4 linked regions of the Arabidopsis thaliana genome follow. The protein of the gene in region 1 purifies or fractionates together with the protein of each later gene. This does not show direct contact. Each region holds a gene or a part of one and is shown on either strand. Other genes may lie near its edges. The genes, in order: CRR42, ndhH, CRR6 and CRR41.

Region 1 (4,196 bases):
AGATAAAAAAACAGTTTTAAGATAGATCCCAACTTAACATTGAACAAACTCAACAGGAACACAGGGAACTGGCAAGGGAAGCAGTGAGGAAATCTCTCGTGTTGTTGAAGAATGGTGAAAACGCAGATAAGCCGTTGCTTCCTCTGCCAAAGAAAGCCAATAAGATCCTTGTCGCAGGAACACATGCTGATAACTTGGGATACCAATGTGGTGGCTGGACAATCACATGGCAAGGCCTTAATGGCAACAATCTCACCATTGGTACACACACCTTTCCTCACTCTATTCCAATGAATCATCATCATATAGAAGAACATTAGGGTTTCTCAGAACAAGTGACATACTCTAAGATTCATTTTCATACCACTTTTTGTGTGTTGTGATTTCAATATGCAACACTAATGAAGAACATATATTTACCAGTCTGAAATTGAATGTTGCAGGAACAACGATCCTCGCCGCAGTGAAGAAGACGGTGGATCCGAAGACGCAAGTTATCTACAATCAAAACCCCGACACCAATTTCGTCAAGGCCGGTGACTTCGATTACGCAATCGTGGCCGTCGGAGAGAAACCGTACGCGGAGGGATTCGGAGACAGTACGAACTTAACCATATCGGAACCAGGTCCGAGCACGATCGGGAACGTGTGCGCATCGGTGAAATGTGTGGTGGTGGTTGTATCGGGACGTCCGGTGGTGATGCAGATTTCGAACATCGATGCTCTAGTGGCGGCGTGGCTTCCGGGAACGGAAGGTCAAGGAGTGGCTGATGTTTTGTTCGGAGATTATGGATTCACCGGGAAATTGGCTCGGACGTGGTTTAAGACAGTGGATCAGTTGCCGATGAACGTTGGTGACCCGCATTACGACCCGTTGTACCCGTTTGGATTCGGGTTGATCACTAAACCAAATTAACGGTTTTCGATTCGGTAATTTCGGTTCATTAATAAGATTGTTGCGCCAAAACTTAAAATGGCAAAATGTTAAAATAATAATTCGTATTTTTCTGTTGCTTATACAATTTTAGAGACATGATCTCAAATTCTCAATCACTATCTCCTTCGTCAAGCTCTAAAGCTTTGAAATATTTACCATCTAAAAGATATGTTCCAATGGAGAGTCTAACTGCCCACAAGTCCTTTGGTTTTCTCGACACGATTCTGCAAAAACAATAGGATAAGAAAGAAGAGAAGTAAAATTAAGCTAATTTAATTGGCAAGAAAACACTGTTTAGATGATTAGTCTGAGTTTTGTCTTAAAATCTGTATAAAATAGAAGAAGAAGAAGAAGACCTTCCAACATCGCCAGGCTTGACCAAGCCAGAGTTGGCCCTAAGGCAAGGCATTGAAGCGGCCGTTTTTATAACTTTGGGAGCTTCGACGATGATGATCGGTGATCCTACTTGGAGCTTCGATTTTGGTCGTGGAGCCTCGTTTGCGATTTCACAGCATCTCACACTGACTCGTTGCGTGAAGGATCCACTGTGCCATATGCCATATTGCATCTTGGAGAATCTAGTTGAAGAAACAAAAGATAAAGCCATGGAAGAAGAAGCCAGCAAGTGTGAGTTTTTTAGTGGTATGAGTGGGGGGATAAGTAGACTTTTGTCTCGTAGTAGTTTACTAGCAAGCCAATGATTTTCAATCTTCGGTTTTGTCTTGGTTTACTCTTCGGTTTAGTTCAGTTCCAGTCCAGTATTCTCCAGCCGGATTTGTTATATTTCTTATTTCTTCAATTGATCACATTTCATATTGTCTTAAACCTGAGAAGCAAGAACGATTTGGGGCCTGTTTCCAACTTTCAGCTTTCTTCTATTATAAAACATGAAGAATATACATAACATGTTACATAATAAAAGGAAGACAAGACACATTAACTTCACCCGAAATTAATATGGTTCAAGGGGCCGGGAGATAAAATATTTAGACAAACAAAACAGAAACTTTATAAGCTATACCAAAAAATATTCTAGGATCTGGTCTTTTAGCATCTCTGGTTTGTTTTTGAAGACTACACAATCTCACTTCTTAGAGTAGGCAAGATATGGATCCTGTGCCATTGTTAGAACATCCGGCCTATCTTCTTGGTTATATGTTAGACACCGTCGAATCAAATCCTGCAGAAAATGCAAAAGTGAGAACATGGAGAGACAGTTTCATGACTATTTGGTACTACTTTACTTAAACCATGTTTAAGACCGGTACAGTTAATTTACCTTCGCTTCATTTGAGATGGCAGGTCTTGTTACTGGGAACTCAACCTTTTTGGCTTTAATGATTGTGTCTTCTCTTAGTATCCGTTCTTGGCTTTGGTCATGTCCAAAAGGTCGCTTTCCAAACAGCATTTGGTAAAACAGAACACCAACTGACCATACATCAACCTGAGTTTCAACACAATTTAGTACCACAAAACTTCTATAAGATAATCAGATTATGACATCATTGACCAATCACTGACCTTTGATGAGATCATAGGAGTTTTGTTAAGCTCAAAGCATTCTGGGGGCAAGTACCTATATTATAGAACCTTGTTAGCTATAAGATGTCCGGAAGTAGAAGAGACAAAAATAATATAGACCATATCAAGGAGACAAAAACTAGATTGCTCACCAGTATGTTCCAGCTCCCTGTGATGTAAGCTCCATTCCTTGAGAACCAACATTGTCCTCCACTATCTTGCTTAGACCAAAATCAGTTACTTTTGCTACTCCAAACTCATCAAAGAGAACATTACCAGGCTTCAGATCATAGTGGATTATCTTCTGTGACTTTTTGTTCAGATATACAAGGCCTTGAACTATTTGCACAATGATAATCCTTGCTTCTTTCTCAGGAAGATTAGATGTTGCCTTTAATACAGCATCAAGGTCTTTCCCTGCATTAGAAATTCAAAACATAAGAGTGAGAACTCAGAACTGTACTCCAGGATCTACAAAGGAATAGGAGAATTCTGATTTACCACTACAATATTCCAGAACGGTGCAGAATGTATGCATGTCGATATGAAATTTATCCCAAAGCCGAACAATGTGGTGATGCACAAGACTTTTATGGATCTCACATTCCCTGTTGGCATGGCGGATGTAACTTTGCTTCTTTTCTTCACTCCACTGAGCATTTAAACCATGAAGCTTGCACGCAACATATCTATGGTCCACCAAATCATATGCCTGCTTAAAATCCATAACATCATATTACTGCAAAATAATTCTCACATGTAAAAGAATGTAGTATCTATCAATGTTCTGACCTTATAGACTTCACTAAATCCGCCTTTACCAAGAAGATTTAGAAGAGCATAGCGGCTATTCAAAACTGGGAAATGGTTGAAACGAGAACCATCTTCATCTCGTATGCGTTTCATCTCCCTCATAAGTAGCCCCTTCTCTAATGTGTACCTTTCTCTCTCACGCAAAACAGCTTCCTCTTCCTGAAAGGTAAAACCAATAAATGTATGATACGTAACCAGAACCGAATCAACTTATAGGAAACAAGAAGCTGAGATGATGCATAAAGAACATACCCGCTTAATACTAGTAAGACGAGACTTGTAAACCTCGTCAGGGATGATATCTTCCTCCTGTGCTCCTGATTCTGTGTCGGTTCCGTCATTCTTATCTACACCCAAATGGAAAAACCAAGGGTGCCAAACATCATAACAATTTGCCCAAGGAAAAAATCACAAGATATATTACAGGAGATTGCGGATTCACTGACAAACAAAAAAATACTGGGATAACATACCACCATTTTGTCGTTTCTTAAGTAACTTTCTTTGTCTCTCAATAGCCTCCTTGGTTTCCAGCAATTGTCTCTTTTCGTTGCAAATTTATAGAAAAATCAGTACAGTTACTTCAAAGCTTATTGGTATTAGTTTGATAAAAATCCCTCGCTACACAGCTTAACTTACAAGTTGAGCATTCAGATCTTTCAACATTTGTCCGTCCTCCCATGTCTCAGCTATGATCGTTCCTGTCCTGAAATCACCAAAAAACACACACAAGCATATGTATTAAATTTTGATCACAAAATCAAGAACTAACCTTGTAACTTAGCAAAGAAGAGAGCTGCAATTATTGAGAAATGTGAAAGCAACTTCTATCTAAAACTCTATTCGAGTTTGTTTAAAGATTTTACTATAAAGCAAATTTGTATTTGCTATACATGTTTTATTATACCTCTCTGTGAAATATAAT
Region 2 (4,723 bases), on another chromosome or scaffold:
TCAAAAGAAAAACAAAACTTAACTAATAGTTGTACCAAACTGCGTTATGATTCTAAAATAATTGAGTCATCAAAAAAAATTTGGCAGACATTCAAAAGAAAAAATACCCGATTAATTCGTAAATCCATTTTTTTTTTTAAATTTTGCATCGAACAAATGTCTATAGCTATTTTTCTAGGTATCATTAATATTCCAAGAATTACTACACAACTTTTTTTTGAATCAACAAAAAAAATTCTTGATAAATATATTTACAAGAATGAAGAAAATGGAGAAAAAAAAAAAAATACTCTTTATTTTATTTCGACTATAAAAAATTTAATATCCAATAAAAAAAAAATGAGTTATGACCTATGCTCTTTATCACAAGCATATGTATTTTACAAATTATCACAAATTAAAGTTAGTAACTTTTGTAAATTAAAGGCTGTTCTTGAATATAACATATGCATAACATCCTTTTTTGTTAAGAATAAAATAAAGGTTTTTTTTCAAGAACACGGAATCTTTCATTATGAATTGAAAAATAAAACCTTTTTGAATTCCGAAGTAAATCAATGGAAAAACTGGTTACGAAGTCAGTATCAATACAATTTACCCCAGATTTCATGGGCTAGATTAGTAACCCAAAATTGGAAAAATAAAATAAATAAAGATTCTCTAGTTCTAAACCCAAGTTTAACCAAAGAGGATTCATATGAAAAAAAGAAATTTGATAATTATAAAAAACAAAAATTTTTTGAGGCCGACTCATTATTAAATCCAAAACATAATGTAAAAAAAGATTCTATATATAATCTTTTTTGCTATAAATCTATTCATTCTACAGAAAAAAATTTTGACATGTCTATAGGCATTGCCCTAGATAATTGTTTAGTCTCTTCTTTTCTAGAAAAATATAATATTCGGGGTATGGGGGAAATTCGGCATAGAAAATATTTGGATTGGAGAATTCTTAACTTTTGGTTTACAAAAAAAGTAACTATTGAGCCTTGGGTTGATACTAAGAGTAAAAAAAAATATATTAATACTAAAGTTCAGAATTATCAAAAAATTGATAAAATAACGCAGACGGATCTTGCTAATAAAAAAAGAAACTTTTTTGATTGGATGGGAATGAATGAAGAAATACTAAATCAGCGTATAACAAATTTTGAATTTTTTTTCTTTCCGGAATTTTTCTTATTTTCTAGTACATATAAAATGAAACCATGGGTCATACCAATCAAATTACTTCTTTTAAATTTTAATGAAAACATAAATGTTAATAAAAAGATCATTCGAAAGAAAAAAGGTTTTATACCATCAAATGAAAAAGAATCCCTTCGATTTTATAATCTGAATAAAGAAGAAAAAGAATCGGCCGGTCAAGTAGAACTTGAATCAGATAAAGAAACAAAAAGAAATCCCGAAGCAGCTCGATTAAACCAAGAAAAAAATATTGAAGAAAATTTTGCAGAATCAACAATAAAAAAACGTAAAAATAAAAAACAATACAAAAGTAATACAGAAGCGGAACTTGATTTATTTCTGACAAGATATTCGCGTTTTCAATTGCGATGGAATTGTTTTTTTAATCAAAAAATTCTCAATAATGTAAAAGTATACTGTCTCTTGGTTAGACTAAACAATCCAAACGAAATAGCGGTATCTTCTATTGAAAGAGGAGAGATGAGCCTAGACATTCTAATGATTGAGAAAAATTTCACTTTTGCAAAATTAATGAAAAAAGGAATATTGATTATTGAACCTGTGCGTTTGTCTGTACAAAACGATGGACAACTTATTATATATAGAACCATAGGTATTTCATTGGTTCATAAAAATAAACACAAAATAAGTAAAAGATACAAAAAAAAAAGCTATATTAATAAAAAATTTTTTGAAAAATCCATTACAAAATATCAAAACAAAACTGTAAATAAAAAAAAAAATAATTATGATTTCTTTGTCCCTGAAAAAATTCTATCCCCTAAACGACGTAGAGAATTTCGAATTCTAATTTGTTTCAACTTAAAAAAAAAAAATGCTAGGGATACAAATTCAAGATTTGATAAGAATATTCAAAACTTGACCACCGTTTTGCATAAAAAGAAAGATCTTGATCTTGATAAGGATAAAAATAACTTAATTAATTTAAAATCCTTTCTTTGGCCCAATTTTAAATTAGAAGATTTAGCTTGTATGAATCGCTATTGGTTTAATACTACTAACGGAAATCATTTCAGTATGATAAGAATACGCATGTATACGCGATTTCCAATTCCTTAATCATAAATACTTTTTACTATATATAATAAGTTACGGTATATGAAAACAACTATATGCACAAATATGAGGGATTGTTTTAAATTAAATCTTTATACATGAGATTAATTTAATCAATCACATAGATACCAATTATAGCGGATTCATAAATAAATTAACAGAATCCTTCTTTTTGAGATCTAAATTTAGATTTTTTTCTAAAATGAAGAATTAAGAGGTTGATAATTAAATTAAGATCCTTGTACAAAAAAACTACCATTATTATTACTGATCAGTAAAATTAATATCTTTCAATTCATATTAAAAGGGGAAGGATTTCTTTTTATGATAAAAAATATAGTCATTTCATTTGAAGAACAAAAAGAAGAAAGCAGGGGATCCGTTGAATTTCAAGTATTTAGTTTCACTAATAAGATACGAAGACTTACTTCACATTTGGAATTGCACAGAAAAGATTATTTATCTCAGCGGGGTCTACGAAAAATTCTGGGAAAACGTCAACGACTGCTGGCTTATTTGTCAAAAAAAAATAGAGTACGTTATAAAGAATTAATTAATCAGTTGAATATTCGGGAATTAAAAACTCGTTAAATTCAAAAATTGTGAATTAGTGAATTTTTTAGATCTTGAATTTTTTGATAAACTTCTTTATTCAGAAATCTAATTCATGCCAGAACGAATCAAGGAAAAACTTATGAAGAGACCAGTTACAGGAAAAGATCTTATGATAGTCAATATGGGACCTCACCACCCATCCATGCATGGTGTTCTTCGCTTAATTGTTACTCTAGATGGTGAGGATGTTGTTGACTGTGAACCCATATTAGGTTATTTACACAGAGGAATGGAAAAAATTGCAGAAAACCGAGCAATTATACAATATTTACCGTATGTAACGCGATGGGATTATTTAGCTACTATGTTTACAGAAGCAATAACAGTAAATGGACCAGAACAATTGGGAAATATTCAAGTTCCTAAAAGGGCCAGCTATATCAGAGTAATTATGCTGGAATTGAGTCGTATAGCTTCTCATCTGTTATGGCTCGGCCCTTTTATGGCAGATATTGGTGCACAGACTCCCTTTTTCTATATTTTCAGAGAACGAGAATTTGTATATGATCTATTCGAAGCTGCCACCGGTATGAGAATGATGCATAATTTTTTTCGTATTGGAGGAATAGCGGCTGATTTACCTTATGGTTGGATAGATAAATGCTTGGATTTTTGTGATTATTTTTTAACAGAGGTTGTTGAATATCAAAAACTCATTACACGAAATCCTATTTTTTTAGAACGGGTTGAAGGAGTTGGGATTATTGGTGGGGAAGAAGCAATAAATTGGGGTTTATCCGGACCAATGCTACGCGCATCCGGAATACCATGGGATCTTCGTAAAATTGATCGTTATGAGTCTTACGATGAATTTGAATGGGAAATTCAATGGCAAAAACAAGGAGATTCATTAGCTCGTTATTTAGTACGACTTAGCGAAATGACAGAATCCATAAAAATTATTCAACAGGCTCTGGAAGGACTTCCAGGGGGTCCCTATGAGAATTTAGAAAGCAGGGGCTTTGATAGAAAAAGGAATCCAGAATGGAATGATTTTGAATATCGATTCATTAGTAAAAAACCTTCTCCTACTTTTGAATTATCAAAACAAGAACTTTATGTAAGAGTTGAAGCTCCAAAAGGGGAGTTGGGAATTTTTCTCATAGGAGATCAAAGCGGTTTTCCTTGGAGATGGAAAATACGACCACCGGGTTTTATTAATTTGCAAATTCTTCCTGAACTAGTTAAAAGAATGAAATTGGCTGATATTATGACGATACTCGGTAGCATAGATATAATTATGGGAGAAGTTGATCGTTAAAATGATAATTTATGCAACAGCAGTCCAAACTATAAATTCTTTTGTTAAATTGGAATCTTTAAAAGAGGTCTATGGACTCATATGGATATTTGTCCCTATATTTTCTCTTGTATTGGGAATCATAACAGGTGTACTAGTAATTGTGTGGTTAGAAAGAGAAATATCTGCAGGGATACAACAACGTATTGGACCTGAATACGCCGGCCCGTTGGGAATTCTTCAAGCTCTAGCCGATGGGACAAAACTACTTTTCAAAGAAAATCTTCGTCCATCTAGAGGAAATACTCCTTTATTTAGTATTGGACCATCTATAGCAGTTATCTCTATTTTACTAAGTTATTCAGTAATTCCCTTTAGCAATCACCTTGTTTTAGCGGATCTCAATATCGGTATTTTTTTATGGATTGCCATCTCAAGTATTGCTCCTATTGGACTTCTTATGTCAGGATATGGATCAAATAATAAATATTCTTTTTTAGGTGGTCTGCGAGCTGCTGCCCAATCGATTAGTTATGAAATACCATTAACTCTATGTGTTTTATCAATATCTCTACGTGCGATTCGTTGAAACAGAAACGT
Region 3 (4,639 bases), on another chromosome or scaffold:
CCACAACCAAACCCACCAATCTTGTCTTTTACCTCCTCTATAGCTGTATACCTTTTTCTTCTTCAGTTTCTTAAGGTCTCTCAGAAACATTCTCAGAGAAGCAGGAGAGACATTCACAGTAACCATGTCCGTCTCTCTGTTCACTGCCTTCACCGTTCTCTCACTCTGTTTACACACTTCAACATCTGAGTTTCAGCTGTCCACCATATCAGCTGCACCTTCGTTCTTGCCTGAAGCTCCATCGAGTTTCTCAGCTTCTACCCCGGCCATGTCTCCAGATACCTCTCCCCTGTTCCCTACTCCAGGTTCAAGCGAAATGTCTCCTTCCCCGTCGGAATCGTCTATCATGCCGACAATCCCCTCAAGCCTTAGTCCACCAAACCCAGATGCTGTCACTCCTGATCCTCTGCTCGAAGTTTCTCCAGTTGGATCTCCTCTTCCAGCTTCTTCCTCTGTTTGTTTGGTCTCATCACAACTCTCATCTCTGCTTCTTGTCCTACTCATGTTGCTACTAGCTTTCTGCAGTTTCTTCTAGTAATCATATAGAAACAGCGAGTAAGCAGCACTCTACACAATATCATCAGCAGAAACCAAATATTCACAAATGTATTCTTTCTTACTCTCTGCTTCTTCTGAATTTTTTTCATGTAATATTAATATAGCTTCTTCTAGTGTTCGTTCGTGTGAGATTTGCTCATAAAGCACTCTGCAGTTTGGGCTAGTGCGCAGTTGTTGTACTTGGTAGCAGTGATAGTGTGTGTTTTTTGTGCCTCAAAGTCAAAATTGATTGATCATCCAATTATGTATCACTCATCACATGTCCTTGTCTGAAACTGGGTTCTTGTGATTGAACAAATCAGAACAGCATGCATTATTAAGTAGGATAATTACCGGTTATAATACAGCACGGAAAGGACAGGATATATCTTGATAAACAGTGAAATGAACCACAGAAAATATCGAAGCTAAGCTCATGAGGTAGATGAGCCAACCTAAAGGACCTTGTTGCCATCGCACATAATGTAAAACAGCTTCCCAAAGAACTTGTTTAGTGGCTTGAACTCCAAAACGGTGCGTTGCTTGAGAGAATGGTGGGCAAGGCGTCTCTTGAGGCTCAAGTTCTCGTCTTTGAGGGTCTCAAGGGTTAGAGAAAGCTGTCTGATGACCTCTCTCTTCTCTTCGTCCTTGTCTAAGAGCTGTTTCCTCAGAGCATCAGTCTCTTCGATCAGCTTCAACCTTTCTTGTTCCAATTGCCAAGTCTCATCTTCTTTGCAATCAGCTGCGGAGGCATCATCTTGAAGGGGGTCTTCAATCTCAGAATCGGCATCTTCAAAGTGAGAATTGCTGTCACAAACGGACTCCATGGATTGTTGGGGAACCTTAGCGGAGCGAGATCCATAGTGGTCGGAAGACTTGAGGTGGTCGAAGTTCACGGCTAAGGAACGGTGAGCTCGATAAAAGTCTTCGACAAAGCTGATAAGCTCAGGACGTTTCTTGTAGTAAGTCTCAGCACGCTGAGCGAAAGAGTCTGCGTTTCCGTCTAACAACTTCAACATTGCCTTTGTCTTTGCATCAATCTCTGCACCACAAACGTTTCACACCAAAAAGTTGGCAAAAACCACAAAACATAGAGAAGAACTGAGTGAGAAAAAGAACCAACCAGCGAGTGTTGATTGAAGCCATTGAGAATGTTTGGAGCTCTTGTGGCTCTCGAACCACCACCATCTCGATTTCTCCTCTTCTCTAACCATTTCTTTTTGTGTTCTCTTCCCTAACACAACAACATATCCCAACAGAACCAAACAATTTCAACCAAAAAAAATAATCTATAAACGCAAAGGAGACCTCAATGCTTAGCTACTCAAGAATGAGAGATTCCTAAATACCTTGTTCTTTTTTCCAATTGTATTCTGAGAGCGATATAGACTAGAGAGAAATGAGAAAGATACGAATAAACCAATTGTTGATTTGTTTTTCAAATTTTGAATGGGCTCTCTCTTCTCTTCAGATATTCGAGATTTTGAATTTATTTTCCCAGATTTTACGGCTATTAATACAACTTATCCAATGAATATTCGCCACGTGTGTATCAAATACCCAAAAAAATCCTCTTAATTACCATCCCCAGGCCTTTTTCATTGTAAGCCCACAATTAGGCCCACGTATGTAATTTGAAGATAGAACACATCGTTTTTCATTCATTGTGATCGATCAAGTCGAAGAGCTCATCGCCGATACCGAATCCGAGCATCCTGGCCATGTCGCTCGTCTTCAACCTGGGCTTTGGGACGCCGTGCCGTTTCAGCCACGGATAAACCACAAACACTTTGTTCATTACGAAAAGCTCCAACGCCTCCGGATTGAAAACGACACCCATTCTCAAGCTCATCTGGTGCGGCACTAACATGGCTGCGTATCGAGCAAGTTCTCCAGCTCGCCAGTCCAGCAGCAGAGGCAGCCAAGGGTACATCGCGTCGAGCCTCACGAACCATAGTCTTACGTCCGGGTACTCTGACAGCTCCCGCGGATCCCCGGGGTCTTCTCTCTTGTAATTGATGGTGAATCCGATGGTTCGATCCAAATACCGTTTTGGTTCAGCTACACCAAAATCATCAGGCGAGGTTATGCCGATGGCTCTCTGAAACGGGGATAGGTCAAGCCGCCCAATTGAGTCGTTGTCGATCACTACTTCGTACCGGCCGGTCGTTGGAGGCATCGGAGGTTCCACTTTATCTGAATCTGCTACGCCTTTCACATAATTAATTAGTAGCAGCCTTTTTTTATTTATCATTCTGAATCAATTGAGCAAGTACGAACCTTGGTCATTCTCGAAGGCAGAGATGTCGAAATTGCCAGAAGGATTGAAGGCGACGGAGACTGCTACGTCTTCTGCCCTCCTCTTTCTTACACACCACCCGGCGGTCTCCAACGCCGGCAATTGAACCACTGGGAACAGCGATACGTGTCTCGGCGATGGGATAAGCCACGGGAGAAGAACTGCCTTTGTTGCCATTCACAGACGCTATCTCTCTTTGTGTCTTAGTCTTCTTTTTATCCTCTTCTTTTGGCCTTTTCTTCATTTCTTTCCATTTTATCCTTTTTTCCTTCACCGCACAAATACATATATTTTGCTGTCTGTCGTAAAGGTTTCAAATGTTAAGCAGAATGCATTTCTTCAATCGTTCAGAAAAATGAAGAGCTCTCTTCTTTAATGTGGAATGTTTTCAACTCAAGTCAGCCTCCTCGGTCTCATGTAGATGTAGGCATTGTCGAATCTCCTTCACTGTTGGTGAGGTGTTTCAGGAGCATCTGCAAGCTTGACCGTCTCTGATCTTCTTCTTCGCCATTGCCCCTTGCAAGCAGTGAGGCCTTCTTTGTCTTCCAAGGTCGTACCGGGTCAAAGGAGTTGCACAATAGAGGCTTTGTAAGTAAGTAGCTCAAAGACTGAGAATTCTGCTCACTTTAAAGTTTAAATAGCTATGCAATGGAACATTCCTTGGCAAAGATAAGTCCCCAAGGTCTCTACCATAGCAGTGGCAAAGATAATATGATTTGAGAGAAAAAGCTCACCTATGCAATCTAGTAAGATGAACATAAGCGTCAAAAGATCCACTTCACAGTGTCTTAGAGTGCCTGAGAATGAATATCTATTATAAGGCCAAATGATGATTTTGTTGTAGTGATTAACTTCTTTATGCTGTGTAGGCATAGTTAAGATCGAGACCCATTTAGACTTCAATTCGGCCCATATAGACGAAAAAAAGGATTCTTACGGCCCAATAATGTTATTTTTTATAACTCATAACACCTTTTTTTTTTTTTGACGTTTTCCTTTGTTTGTTTGTTTTTGTTTACGTTTTGACCAAATCAGTAGTTGTCCAAATCATTATTTATATCCAAAGAAGGAAGATTTCATCTTAATTATATAAAGTAAAACGTTAAAACACCTTTTGGCCCATTAAAGCGGCGAAAGTGCTGTGATCACGGCAACAAAAAGCTTACTCTGCTTAGTTTTGTTTTGTCAAATACAATTGCGTAAAAAGAGGAAAAACGGAAAGAAAGTTTCCATTAAACCAAAGTATTCTATTTGTAAGTCTTCTTATCTTCAGATGTCTATTTTATATGATGAATTTTGAACAAGATTTTTTAGAATCTAGTCAGTTACCATGTTTATTTCGGTGAAGTTCCAACATTTCTAGAAACATTACCAAAACAAAAGATAACAACGAGAAAGAGAAATACATAGAAAGCACACTTTAATTTCGTTATCATGTGGCAGCTTAATTTATTTCTATAATTGAAAAGCTTTCTTTATATATATCCCTTAATTAAAAAGGCAGAAGATAAATCGGTAAGAATACGGTCAATTAGAATGAAATGTAAAACTTTGTTACCAAATTTAGTTTGAAGAAAATAATGATAAAATAATAAAATGACTGACTGACAACAATTAAAAATGAGACAAGGAAGGAAGCGATTGGATAACACAGAGACAGACATACATATTCACTCCCCCGTCAAACCCTAAAATCTATTTCCTCTGACCGCTTCTTCTTCTGTGGGTTGTAAAAGGCATTCGCTTTCGAGTGTTGGTTGTCGATTTCGATGCCCCAATCTGGGACCTGGGTACTGTTCCCAA
Region 4 (4,629 bases), on another chromosome or scaffold:
TGCCTGTAAAATGAAACAATTCAAAGTATAAACATCTCAGTCTTTTGATGCAAAGACTTTAGTGAAGAAACTCACCTCAACTTTCAGCTCTCCAATGAAATCAGAGAATTTAACAATGTTTGAAACACGAGGATCGTTTGTTGCCTTCAAGTATACATCTTGAAACACAGTGAACACATCAACTCCTGTAAATGTTCTCTGCAGAGACAAATCCTTCCATTGCTCTTCTTCTTACACACAAATTACAATCATCTAGAAAAAATGGAGATATGATGATGAATGTGTGAGAAGAACTGACTTGGATTGGAGATGCAGTTCCAGGTCTTGTGGTGAACATCAATCGCCAACGACCTTCGATTAGGTCAGAATCTGTCTAAACATTTAAACAACATTCCCCAAAAGACAACCAAATGAGTCAAAGAACAAAACATAACAGAATTTGGTAATTTGAAGATAAAAGGATTCACAAGAAAACATTTCATACAGGATTTTGAATGCCTTCTAAACCTTCAAGAACTTTCACAGCAGATTCAACATCCTACAACAGAGAATCTCTCAAATCATAAACACGACGGAAAATTAAAGAAAGTTTAAAGTTTTTACACACATTGAGCTGTTTAGGAGAAGCAGATTTGCCACGGCCTTGAATTCCGATCAAAGCGTCAATGAGTTTCAACTCAGCATCATTAAAAGACGATTGTTGAGTTTGGTCAGTGACAGTAGATGAAGATGAACAACTGATTCGCAGAGTTCTACAGTTTCTAGACAAACCTAGTCTCCTGCTTGTTGTGTTAAGAAGATTGAATCTCGGAGAACACAATGAAAGAGAAATCGGCGATGATGGGCATGGACATAAACATGGTAGCGACATCTCTACAGCGTAGAATCTGACTGCCACCATTGTTGCTGTCTACTGCTGCTTGTGAAGCTTTTGTTAAAATGATTAAACTTTGCATTTTTAATGTGTGGTGTACAATAAAGCTTGAGTCTTGGTGAAATATCTTGAAATATGAAACTAGTGGAAGTAAAATTTTCTCAACTAATTAAGTTTTTTCCTCCCAAAAACCCTTAAGCTTCCTCACAAATTGCAAAACCAAAAGCATGAATCTTTGTTTTGATTCTTCACATGAGACTCTCATCTTCAATCCTTCTTCTACCATTAAAGTAACAGATGAATGATCCAGAGATGATTACAGAACCAAAAAAATAAGATCTTTTACAGATGAAGAAGCTCTGTTTTGTGTAAAACTATAAACAAAATTCATAGACTTTTGACTCAATTTGCAAGTAGAAGAAGAAGGAATTAGAAAGAATTAGCAACAAGAATAGCTTGTCGACACCGAGCTCTAGCTTGTTCAATCCTCTGACTCAAAGTTTCATCTTTAACAGAAGCTTTAACCATAGCTAAATCCATCTCCATCAATTTCAAAACCCTAAAAAGCTCTGTAACCATTCTCTCTTCAACTTTACCTTCATCTCTCAAAACCTCAGCTTCTTCTCTAGCTCTCTCTGCAACAATCTCACCAGCTTTAGCTAAAAGCTCCTTTGATCCAAACTCTCTCGCCATTAAAGCTTCGAACTTTTCTAAGAAATCCATTATTACATAACCTTTAGGTTTCTCCAAGTTTATCTCTTTTGTTCTTTTCCAACCGATTTCGAAGTTTGGTGGCTCTGGTTTCTCGATTCCTCTTTGTGTTCTGTCTCGTATGATCTCTGATCTTCTTCGTTTCTCTATTGGGAATTTCTCTGCGCTTGTTGTGTTGATTGATTCAGGTGCTGGTGTGAGATTGATGAATTGATCCTTTGACTCTGGATTCGACGAACATTTTGTTGAGAACTTTGTTGTTCGACGAACGAAGCTATTGGTTCTTATTGGGACTGCGATGTGAAGATTCTTAGAGGAGAGAGATGGAAGAAGAAGTGTGGAAGTGGAAGCCATTGATTTAAAAAGCTTAGAGGAAGAGTGTTAAAGAGGGTTTTGAGAATTGGAGAAAGATAAGGCCTTCTCTGGAGTTACAGTACACTATAGCGTCGTTTAAGTGTTTCAGACAAGAACGTCACGTCGTTTTTAGTTTCCGTTTAAACGGTGTCGTGTGGAGGTGTAAGCACCACGGCTGCTCTTTTCACAGTAGAAAGAAACAGTGTCATCTGTGGATAAGTAAACTGTAAAAACATAATAGTTGAGTATTCATCGACTCATGTCACTCATTGGAGAGGCCGGTCTCAGAGTTTTTAGTTTCCATTCTTTCGTGCTAATATACTTTTATTTTCTAACAGAAACTATATTTTTATGCGAAAAATCTTACTATTTGTATTTTACTACCAAGAAAAGAAGAGCAAATAAAAGTTGTATTAGAACCAAAACGTGATATACACAAGAAACAAAACCCTGTAGTGTTTACATACATAAACGAGGACTCGAAATAGAAATACTGGTAAGACGAAGACAATTAAAAATAACTTCGTGTAGTTATTTATTTGCTGGTATATACTATAGTCTATATATGAGTAGGAGGAGACTTGGTTCAGTGTTTCACATGATGGAGCATCCTTGAGAGTTCATATCTTCGTGGCAACATTGTCGTCCACCTCCCCAGCTCTCGTAAACGGGCCTTCCATAACATTGGTACTGTTGGGCCTCGTAATACGGCCCACAATGATACGGCTGCCACATCGGCATCGGTTGAGGAGCGGAAGACGAAACAAGAACAGGAACCGGAGCCGGCCGAACAAGAGCTGGGGCTTGGGCTTGGGCTGGGGCTGGGGCTGGGGCAGTAGGCTTCTGAGGTGGTTGAGGCTGGGGTTGAGGCGGTTTGGGTGGCTCAAGGATCACGATGGACTTGATAGAACCGTCTCCTTTGTAGCAAAGTTTGTTCATTAGCCTCTCAGGATCGTAACAAACTACTTTGATGATGATCGTGTTGGACTTCTCATCAAACAATTCGTCTGTTATTTCTATTTTTTTTTGCAAAACAACACATACCACAAAATCGTATCCATTTATCAAGATTCAGAATCTTCTCAACCCGCAATAATTCAAATGAACAAAGAAACTCAAATTAAAGAAAGAAACTCACGAGGGAATTTGCGGATAGCTTTCTTGACCTTTTTGTAGCATTTGGAACAGTTTAGATCCACTTTCAATTTCATCATCACTACCTGTTTGTGCATATCATATAATTTCATGATCATTATTACCTTAATTAGTAACTCTATTAGAGGGTAATTATGGATATGATCAATAAAAGAGAAGTAATATGAAAATTCAGATCTTGGTAAAGTACCTTCTCCGCCATAGCTTGGGAGTCTTGCTTGAGTCACCAAACAAGTACAAGAACACAAGTATTTTATGTGTATTCCTTGCATGATTCAATATATATAGAAAGTGATATAAAGAGAGACTTAAAATGAGAACAAGAAAGAAAAAGTTTATTATTTCTTTCGGTTTTATCAAATGAAAATATCTAATTTTGTATCTAAAATGACGTGTATGAATTTATGAAACACGGTGTATCACACATAATTTCGAAGTTTCTGAAGGTGACGCCGACATCAATTACGCACACAGCTGAGAATTACCAAAACGGGCTCACATTAGTCAGTGCACGACCACAGTTCAAGTGCTTATAGTGGTCCAAGTTTTCTAATAATTTTGGGTTATTCTTCTGTGGTGCGAAATAATGAGCCGACATGGATGAAATGGTTGTAAAAGGACTGTCTGAATTTGATGTTTCCTTTAAGACTCTACCAATCAACTAAAAAAAATCAGTGACTCGTATTTGTATATCAAACAAGAAAAGAACAATAGGACGACAAATTGATAGAATCCAATTTTCTTATCTGAAAAAAATGAAGAGAAAATGTAATGCGAATCTTATAATCAATCGTGAGATCCGTCCTCAGATATTTCTGGATTTTACATGTCCTAATTCCTGATTTTTACTCTCATATTTTCTAACCTTATATTCCACTGGCGAAACTATAAGTAACATTGGAAAAGTGAGTAAATCCAAAACAAATGGATTCAAGTTCAAAATAGTTTAATCATGTATATATAAAAATAAGGTCTCATTTTTAACAACCAATTTTTCAAAAATAAAAATAGAATAATATTTATCTCCAATTAACCCACAAAAACAATAAATTTATTCACATTTATTAATCAACCATTGAATACTAAATTGTAACTATCATACTAATTGTGTATTAATTATATTCTTCTTCACTCATTGTCATTCAAACAAATTAGAATTGTAACTCATGTAATTTAGTTACATTTAAAAGGTAACTTCAATCACTTTTCATTATGTAAATAATCATTCTCTCTCATATTTTTCTACCATATCTCAAATCCTAAATATTTTCTTTGTTTTTATGTTGTTGTGTGGCTTGAAAAATCAACTGCGATTTCATTGAAAATGTTTGATTCTAAATTTATATGTTTAGAGACGATATGGTATATATATATATCTTAGCATGGTTACATATTGTGGTGGCTCTAACTCGTTGTTTGATCTTATGCATTTCTAAGATCTTAATCATATTTCATAGAGACACCAACCATTTGATGATATTACCATTTTATGTAGCATCAGTATCACAACTACAACAAAACCGCGTCGAAAGGTT

The links.
Region 2: the proteins of CRR42 (region 1) and ndhH purify together in Arabidopsis thaliana (affinity purification with mass spectrometry, with the first as the bait; one study listed by BioGRID). This does not show direct contact.
Region 3: the proteins of CRR42 (region 1) and CRR6 purify together in Arabidopsis thaliana (affinity purification with mass spectrometry; one study listed by BioGRID). This does not show direct contact.
Region 4: the proteins of CRR42 (region 1) and CRR41 purify together in Arabidopsis thaliana (affinity purification with mass spectrometry; one study listed by BioGRID). This does not show direct contact.

Annotation. Positions count from the first base shown.
Region 1 is NC_003076.8:7,100,796-7,104,991, reverse strand, and holds CRR42 (DUF3148 family protein), read right to left. Parts: upstream 1,609-4,196; 5' UTR 1,545-1,608; coding exon 1,294-1,544; coding exon of another isoform or gene 1,257-1,293; intron 1,162-1,256; coding exon 1,047-1,161; downstream 1-1,046. Other genes in the region: AT5G20940 (Glycosyl hydrolase family protein), read left to right, coding at 57-261, 444-916; TSL (Protein kinase superfamily protein), read right to left, coding at 2,022-2,117, 2,217-2,381, 2,459-2,513, 2,611-2,875, 2,960-3,170, 3,251-3,430, 3,524-3,618, 3,745-3,814 and 1 more. UniProt on the Arabidopsis thaliana protein: Required for both formation and activity of the chloroplast NAD(P)H dehydrogenase (NDH) complex of the photosynthetic electron transport chain.
Region 2 is NC_000932.1:121,432-126,154, reverse strand, and holds ndhH (NADH dehydrogenase subunit 7), read left to right. Parts: upstream 1-2,962; coding exon 2,963-4,144; downstream 4,145-4,723. Other genes in the region: rps15 (ribosomal protein S15), read left to right, coding at 2,593-2,859; ndhA (NADH dehydrogenase subunit 1), read left to right, coding at 4,146-4,698. UniProt on the Arabidopsis thaliana protein: NDH shuttles electrons from NAD(P)H:plastoquinone, via FMN and iron-sulfur (Fe-S) centers, to quinones in the photosynthetic chain and possibly in a chloroplast respiratory chain.
Region 3 is NC_003071.7:19,613,115-19,617,753, reverse strand, and holds CRR6 (chlororespiratory reduction 6), read right to left. Parts: upstream 3,098-4,639; 5' UTR 3,014-3,097; coding exon 2,818-3,013; exon of another isoform or gene 2,792-2,817; coding exon of another isoform or gene 2,740-2,791; coding exon 2,195-2,739; 3' UTR 1,985-2,194; downstream 1-1,984. Other genes in the region: AT2G47935 (uncharacterized protein), read right to left, coding at 33-165, 205-504; AGP26 (arabinogalactan protein 26), read left to right, coding at 125-535; NET3C (Kinase interacting (KIP1-like) family protein), read right to left, coding at 993-1,579, 1,661-1,751. UniProt on the Arabidopsis thaliana protein: Required for both formation and activity of the chloroplast NAD(P)H dehydrogenase (NDH) complex of the photosynthetic electron transport chain. May function in assembly or stabilization of the NDH complex.
Region 4 is NC_003070.9:18,931,652-18,936,280, reverse strand, and holds CRR41 (potassium/sodium hyperpolarization-activated cyclic nucleotide-gated channel protein), read right to left. Parts: upstream 1,983-4,629; 5' UTR 1,940-1,982; coding exon 1,304-1,939; 3' UTR 982-1,303; downstream 1-981. Other genes in the region: AT1G51110 (Plastid-lipid associated protein PAP / fibrillin family protein), read right to left, coding at 1-3, 76-198, 299-373, 485-538, 608-901; AT1G51090 (Heavy metal transport/detoxification superfamily protein), read right to left, coding at 2,534-2,955, 3,078-3,159, 3,285-3,296. UniProt on the Arabidopsis thaliana protein: Required for both formation and activity of the chloroplast NAD(P)H dehydrogenase (NDH) complex of the photosynthetic electron transport chain.